Linked DNA regions of Cricetulus griseus. The protein of the gene in region 1 purifies or fractionates together with the protein of each later gene. This does not show direct contact. Links are inferred from orthologs where the notes say so. Each region holds a gene or a part of one and is shown on either strand. Other genes may lie near its edges.

Region 1 (4,163 bases):
GATCACCATTCCTTGTTCTATATTTGTTTTAAGTTTACTCTGTAGTCCCTGGCTGTCCTGGAACTTACTCTGTAGTCCAGGCTGGCCTCAAACTCAGAGATCTGCCTGAATGCTGGGATCAAAGGCGTGTGCCACCACTGCCCAGTTTAGGCCAAATATCTTAACTCGTCTGATCAAAAAGGAAACCATGTATATGCCTGGATTGCTCCTGGAACACTATTGGGGGTGTGTGAGTGCATGTGTGTGCCTGGGACAGTCCCCGCAATACTATTGGGGTGTGTGCTGATACACTGTCTTTCCTCACTGTCCTGCACCGCATACCCTGTTCCCCAGCCTCCTTTCTGTCTCTGTACATATTCACTGCTGTGGTTTAGTCCAGCTTTTGTGTGCCCTCTGGTGAGAGACCCAAGGCACTGAGGAAAATGAGTGACTAATAAACCAATGATGCAGACCCTGAGACACATGGCCTGGATGATGGCCTGGATTCAAGTTCCACCCTTGCTACTCACCAGTGGCACAGACAAAGCCAAGTTGCTTAGCTTCATGAGGCCGCAGTTTTATCTCCTGAGAATCTGGCAGAGTTTATGTCTGTTGGGTACTTACGGAATCTCATCAGAAAGTGTTGGACGTGTTATTATTTGCAGTGATGGAGACAGAAACTAGAATCTTTCATTGCTTGGAAGGCACTCTGCTGCCGACCCACACCTCCCCCACAGGTTCGGGGCAGGGGCTGTACTGCTGACCTGCACCTCCAAACTTCTTCAGTCTTTATTCTGGTCACATCCTTCCTTCCCTGGCCTAGAAGCATCCCAGTTCCTATGCTGGCAAGGCCTATTCCAGACTTCTCCAGGCAGCTGGCTTGCCCAGCCCGCACACAGGAGCTGCACCACAGTACTAGGGTCTATGAACTTGCTGTGTGCTACCCTGACAGAGCTTGTCTCTCAATGTCCCGGCTGCTATTTATCTTGCATCTTCATTTTTAAAATTTATTTTATTTTAATTTTATGTGTATGAGAGCTTTGCTTCATGTCTGCCTGTGCATCACTTGGGTGCCTGAAGAGGTCAAAAGGAACTAGTTAGAGATGGTTGTGACCCACCATGTGGGGGCTGGGAATGGAACTCCCAGCATGCAGTCTGTGAGCTGTCTTTCCAGCCTGTGTCTCTATTTTAAAATGCAAACCATCTCCTATCTCACAAAGGAATCTCACCGTATAGGGGAAAACTCGACAATAAAAAAATGTGTTTTCTGTACCAGGTACTCAATCACATCTATAGCTTCATTCCCTGTTCCAGCTATTCTATACTTCACTCTGCCTTGGGGTGTGTGTGTGTGTGATCTCCCCCTGCCCAGTGATCTCTGAGAGGTCACTCAGCACTTAGAAGGATCTGCAGTGGCTGCCCATGTTAACTTGTTGCCTGTTCCCCACTAGAATGCAGGGAATTCTGTCCTGCATTTGGAGGACACTTCCCTCCAAGCAAAACATGGTGCCTGGCACAGTGGCTGCTTAGCACTTGCAGGTGAACTGTAGAGTGAATGTCCTATAACCCTGCTTGTGAACCAAACCCCACCAACATGACTGCTAGAGAGCTACGAGCTCCTCCCCGCTGTCTGCAAGGAGCTGAAGGGAAGTGGGTTGGATGGATTTCCGGAGTTCAGCGCTCTCATCCCAAGAAGGGCCAGAAACTTAGCAACCCTGCAGTCACAGAAACGCTAAGTGGGAGGTGCAGGAAGCAGGGAGGGGGACTCCTGGGGCTCAGATAACTCCCAGTTTAGGGGACACCACACCTGTCGTCCCTCGCTCCTAACCCCCAGCACAGTACTACTTTGGGGAGGAGGGGAGGAGGCCTCTGATTCATTCTTGAAAAACCGGATCCTAAAGGTTTCATCTCTCCAGTGTTTCCGGGGCGAGTGGACGCACCTCTTGCCCCGCTCCCCCGCCCCGGCCTCTACACTCACTCTCGCTCATTTCTCTTCGCAGTAAGTAGACAGGGTGGGTGGAGGGGGAATGGGATTAAAGGGCCCACGTCAGGCCTTGCCTGGCCAGCTCAAGAGAAGGGACACGAGGGCAACTTGGAAGCTGTTTAGTGACCCGTGGGCTCGGGGAAGCAAAACCCAGCAGGTGCGGCTCCGAAGGGAATATGGGGGCGGCCGTGTGCAGTGAGTCCGGTGGCTGGCTGGTCAGGGACGACTTCTGGGACTAGTTTCTGGACTCAAGGCATGGGTCCCTCATCCCCACCGGCCACTTACTAGCTGTGTGACCTTGAGTGAGTCACTCCACCTCTCTGGCCCTGATCCCTCACTTCTAAAAGAAGTTAACAGCCCCTCCCAGGAGGCTGTTTTGATTCAATGTTGTGCACTGTAAGCGTCTGACGAGGAAGCGCTGGGTCCGGGCTAGCGAGGCGGGGGTGGGGGGTGGTCCGCACTATTACTGCGGTTGTTATTGTCTTCCGGACTCGGCGGCCTCGGTGCCCCCGCGGCCAGCTTTTGGGCAGGGGCCCGGGAGGGGTCGGGACCCATCACCAACAGGGAGCGTCCCGGGAGCAGAGGGCAGGGGCGGACCGGAGGCCCCGGCCGGAGGGGAAGGGTCCGTGTTTGGGGTCCCGACGCGGCCAGCCCCACCCCGCCGCCACGGCTCCACGCCCGGGAGGCCGCCCCTGGCCGGGGAACACTCACCTGCGCCGCAGCCACCCCGCGCGCCCAGTTCGATCCTCTGGAAACTCGGCCCGGCTTCTCCCTCGGCCTCCCGTACCTGGGCGGGGCCGGCGTCCCGAGCGGACCAATCAGCGGCGGCCTCCCATACTGGCGGCCAATGGGTGCCTCCCGTCGGAACGCTCTGAGGGATCCCTCCGCCGCACCTCGGTCTCCCCCCTGTACGCGCAGTGGTCCGACCTTACTCGTTCTAAATGGCGGCGGGCTGAACCATTGAGGGGCTGCGCGGGTGAGAGGACGGGGAGCTGGGCGGGAGCTGGCAGTAAGAGTCAGATGACCGGGTTTGGAGGACTGCGCTCGGCATCCAGGAAAGCGGGCTCGTTGGGAGGTCAGAGAGGCGGCCGAGAGCACACCCTCGCTCAGCTTCCCTCCCAGAAAGATGCTTTGACTCCAGGGGGTGGGCCATAGTGAATAGGGAGGGTCCCGGGTGTCTCTGCTTTTTCCACTCTACACAATAGACAAAGCAACCGTGCATTCATTCAGTCTTTCAATCTTTAAGTGCCCCTGCCTGGTACCAGGCTCGGTCCTGGCTCTACAGACACATGAATGGAGATACAGGGTGTGCAAAGGCTCCGAAGCTGCACAGAGAGCCACAGAGCACTTTGCTAGTAAAGCTGTGTAAGAATACACGATGGAGAATGTTTAAACAGTCGGCTTGTCAGTTCAGTACTGTGCAGAATCATAGATGGTGACCAACCAGTGCAGGTTTCCTCCTCCTCCTCCTCCTCCTCCTCCTCCTCCTCCTCTCCTCCTCCTCCTCTCCTCCCCTCCTCCCCTCCTCCTCCTCCCCTCCTCCTCCTCCTCCGCCGCCTCCTCCTCCTCCACTTCCTCCTCCTCCTTCTCCCCTTCCTCCTCCCTCATAGAAATGTATGATGGGGAAAAGGGTAGATTATTGAATCTCCTTAACCCCCAAACAACTGCTAATCCCAAAATACTTACATTGTTATATATTTTACTTTCTTGATATAAACTTAAGGTTAATTTTGTTATGCTATATTTATATTTCTACTCTTGTTTATGATACTATGTTTATGCAGTTTATAATAGTCAAACTTAATGTTATGTTAGGTTTAGCTAGATATACAGAGATATATTTTTAGATGGGTTGGTAATCTTCAAACACTTCAAAGACCTACAGAATATGACATTTAAAATGTTTTGATAATTTAAAATTCTTTTGACATGAGACACATCTGCTCCTGGCAGCTGATCTACTCCTGAGAGGATGATGGGCACTGAAGTCACTCCATATGGAGTTTGTTTCCCTTTTAGCAAAACTGGCCTATTGGGTAAAGAGCTGCCCTTGCCTGGACTGCTGACAGTAAGTATGCTGTCCAATCCAGACAAACAGGACACAAGAAAAAGTGACTGCTGAACCTTGCCAAGAAAGGTTAGGAGAGTCCTTCAGATTTTCTTGCTTCTGACAATGGAAAATGATATGTCAGATATTCTA
Region 2 (3,500 bases), on another chromosome or scaffold:
CCCAAGACCACAGAGAAGCTGATAAAGAGGGGAGAAGACACCTTCCTGGGGGGTCTTTAAAGATCCTGTAGCTACACTTCCAACCCTGTGAGTGGCCCAATATGGCCCATGCTTGTCTGCCTCTGGAAGCTCACCCCAAGGTCTGGACACCCCAAGGTCTGGACACCTGCGGGACACTCACCATCACCAGCTCCTTCTGGAAGGACTTCCGGTCCTTGTTGTCAGGGTTGTTACAGTCTTCCTTCAGCTTTTCCAGAACAGACGCCACCCGCTCCGCCTCGCTGTCCAGCTCCGCCCGGCAGAAGAAGGTGAGAGGCAGGTTCCCGTAACCCAGGGCGTCCGCGAAGGCTCGCCAGCTGCTGATGTTCTCCATGAGCAAGGTCCGCACGGACGCATAGATGTAAGTGAGGAACTTGCAGGGCCGGAGGATCTGCTCCAGCAGCACGGAGGTGCTCAGCTCAGGCCCCGAGAACAGGCTGGGCCGGGCTTTGCCCACTACCAACACGTTCTTGGTGTGCACCAGGCCCACCTTGCCCTGATAGTAGCCGATGTACCACTCCTTGGTCCACAGTTGTCCCTTGAGGCGGATGCGTTCCTCGCTGAGCAGGGCCACTGCGTCACCCTTCTTGTACTCTAGCAGGTAGTGGCTCTTGTTCTGCCTCACCACCGTCTTTAGTAGCTTGCCGAACTTGAGGCTAGACACGGGGCGGTCCTGAAACGTTGGGTACTTGGTGGTGACAACGAACGGGGACAAGATGACCTTCCCAACCTCGTTCTTCTTCAGGAACCTCCTCTGCCCGGATGGTTTAATGGCACTTTTGGGGGGTGGCTGCGGAGTCTGGACACAAAACTGGGTGAGGATGGTGTCCTGATCGTCCCTGACCTGCACCCTCAGGGTGAAGTCAGACAGCTCGTTGGGGTTCTGGGAGATGATGGAGTAGATCAGACGGCTAACCTTACCCAGTTTCATCTGGAACCCTCTCACCACTTTGGCTTGCTCGATGGCCTTGACCTCATAGTTGGTCATATTGGAGAACATACACACTTTGAGATCCTGGGGTCTGGACAAGATGAACTGGTGCTTGCCCCACAGCTGTAGGGCTACCGGGGCAGGACCAGGAGCCTGCCGAGTAACCTCAGTGACCAGGAGGGTCTTGGGGGCACAATCATGTCCAAAAATGGTCACCACGGTCTTGAAGGACGGATGGATGTGTTTGGGACCATAAAGACCCACAGTGACTCTCTTATTGATGAAATCCCATACGGTGGAGGGGTAGAGGATGTTGGCGCCCTGGGCGACAATAGCGAGGTACATGCAAGGCTCCAGGTTGTCCAGTTGTACCTGTACCGTGTCCCCATAGCTGTAGGTGAGGGGGATGGGCACATAGGGCCCCTCCTTGGAGTCACTTCTCAGGCACTGTAGGACCACTGAACTTTTGCTGAAGATGTCGCCCTTCACCTCTGCGGAGACTTTCATCTCTAAGATGATCAAAGTGCTCACCTCCAGGTTACTCAGCTTCACCTCCACCACGGGGCTGACGCTGCTGGATCTGTCGCTGTTGAGCTCCAACGGAGGGTCCAGCAGGGCTTTCATGGAGATCTGCTGGGTCTCCCCAGGGGCTACATGGCCCTCGGGCACATGGATGCTGATGTTGGTGTCAGGAAGCTGCACGGAGCCCCCAGAACTATCCAGCTTGCACACGATATTTGTTTCCACTGCTTGGGTCTGTCCCCAACCTGGGCTTTGACCGAGCAGGTCCAAGTCATGGCAGGATCGGGCCAGCTTCCGGTGATTCAGCCAGGCGGTTCGGAAATCTTCTCGGCTTTGAAACTGTTCTGGGGCAGGTGACTTCAAGCCTGTGAAGAAACTGGATGTCTCAGGAGCATCCGATTTGGCTTGTAGGACGGAGAGTTCCGAGAGGCTGTAGGAACGCTTACTTCTGAAGAAGGGATTGTCCCGCCTGACCGGCTGCTCCACGTGGAGTCCATTGGTGGCTGGGAGTTCATCAAAGATGTTGCCGGTGCTGTTGGTGGTTGCTGAGCTGGATTCAGTGAAGGAAGATGTGCCCGTATCAAAGAGGAGCAAATCCACAGTACTCTTGGGGTTTAGCTCATCCACACTGGGCTGGGCATTCCCATTTAGAAAAGGGTTCGTTCGGACTCCGTTCCAGAAAGGGTTGTTACTATAGGGTCTGCCAGATTCTTTCTGGTCATCTGTCCAGCCCCCTAGCAGATCTAGCTCCTTGGCGACTTCATCGGGGCTATCTGGGAGATTGTCAATCATGCCACTGTCACTCAGGGTGGAGTTCCGGTAGTTCAGTGGCTGCACATAGGAGGAAGGGATGTAGCCCATCTCGGTGGTGTTGTGGGCATACCACCACTCCCCACCAGACGTGTCCAAGACGTAGAGGTGGTCGCCTTTGGAGAACTTGAGGGTGGTGAAGTTGTTTGGGCAATAGTCTTTGATTGCAATCACTTCTTTTGCGTTTCCAAAAGGCGTGGGGTTGTCTGCTAGCAAGGCACTGGGAGAAGGCACTGCACAAAACAGAGAGAGAGAGAGAGTGAGGTCAGGCCTACAGGCACAAGAGACACTTCCAAAGTGGGGGTAGGGCGGGTGGATAAGAGGTGCAGTAGACTAGAAATGGATGGTGCCATGATATTGTCACCAGCCCTGCCAGGAAACAATAGAAACCATCCAGGGTAAAGATTCATGTAAGCCCCACGTGGCCCAGGTAATGTAACTCAGGAGTGCTCTGGTGCTCTGCCACTCAGCCACTTTCCGATTCAACCTTCTAATTGAGGCAGAGGACCCAGAAGAATGTCCCTCAACCACCCTAGAAAGACAGATCACATGATAGGCAGTGGACATGTCCCTATGTTCTGAACACCTCATTTTGATAAAAATTTATCTAATTTCTAACCAGGATTGTCACTATTATGAAAGGGGGGGACTAATGTGATGCTGGAGAGCACACTGACACTATAGACTAGGCAGTACCCCAGTGATGCTATGGGCTAGGCAGTGGTCCAGCGATGCTATAGACTAGGCAGTGGTCCAGCGATGCTATAGACTAGGCAGTGTCCCAGTGATGCTATGGGCTAGGCAGTGGCAAGCTGCAAGTATGGTCTTGGAATGAGGAGCCCTCAGCTTCCAGCCACAGGTCATTGAGTCCTTGTTCTCTTTTGGTATGGAAGACAGAAAAGGAGGGGCAGCTCCCTGACAACCAGGACCAGTTCGGTTTCAAAGTCCAGCCCATTCCTCACTCTTCCTTCAGGTGACAATGATTCTTATGGGGTTTTTTTGAACCATTTTAAATGACTGAAGCATCAAACCCCCACACCCTGATAATCAGAGGTTTGTCTTGCCATGCACTAACAACCATTTGAGCACAGCCTGAAAAGCCATCACTTTAATGCATGGCCCTCCCCATTACACCATGTCAGTGAGTGCCACAGACAACACCTGGAACAGACAAAGCAAGCCACCTAAGCGGAGCATG

The links.
Region 2: the proteins of Gipc1 (region 1) and Sh3bp4 purify together in Homo sapiens (affinity purification with mass spectrometry; 4 studies listed by BioGRID and IntAct, with this or other methods). This does not show direct contact. The link is inferred for Cricetulus griseus from reciprocal best matches to the Homo sapiens genes GIPC1 and SH3BP4.

The regions. Positions count from the first base shown.
Region 1 is NC_048596.1:160,761,547-160,765,709, forward strand, and holds the start of Gipc1 (PDZ domain-containing protein GIPC1), read right to left. Parts: upstream 2,801-4,163; 5' UTR 2,675-2,800; intron 1-2,674. UniProt on the Homo sapiens protein: May be involved in G protein-linked signaling.
Region 2 is NC_048595.1:440,688,433-440,691,932, reverse strand, and holds part of Sh3bp4 (SH3 domain-binding protein 4), read right to left. Parts: intron 2,536-3,500; coding exon 182-2,535; intron 1-181. UniProt on the Homo sapiens protein: May function in transferrin receptor internalization at the plasma membrane through a cargo-specific control of clathrin-mediated endocytosis.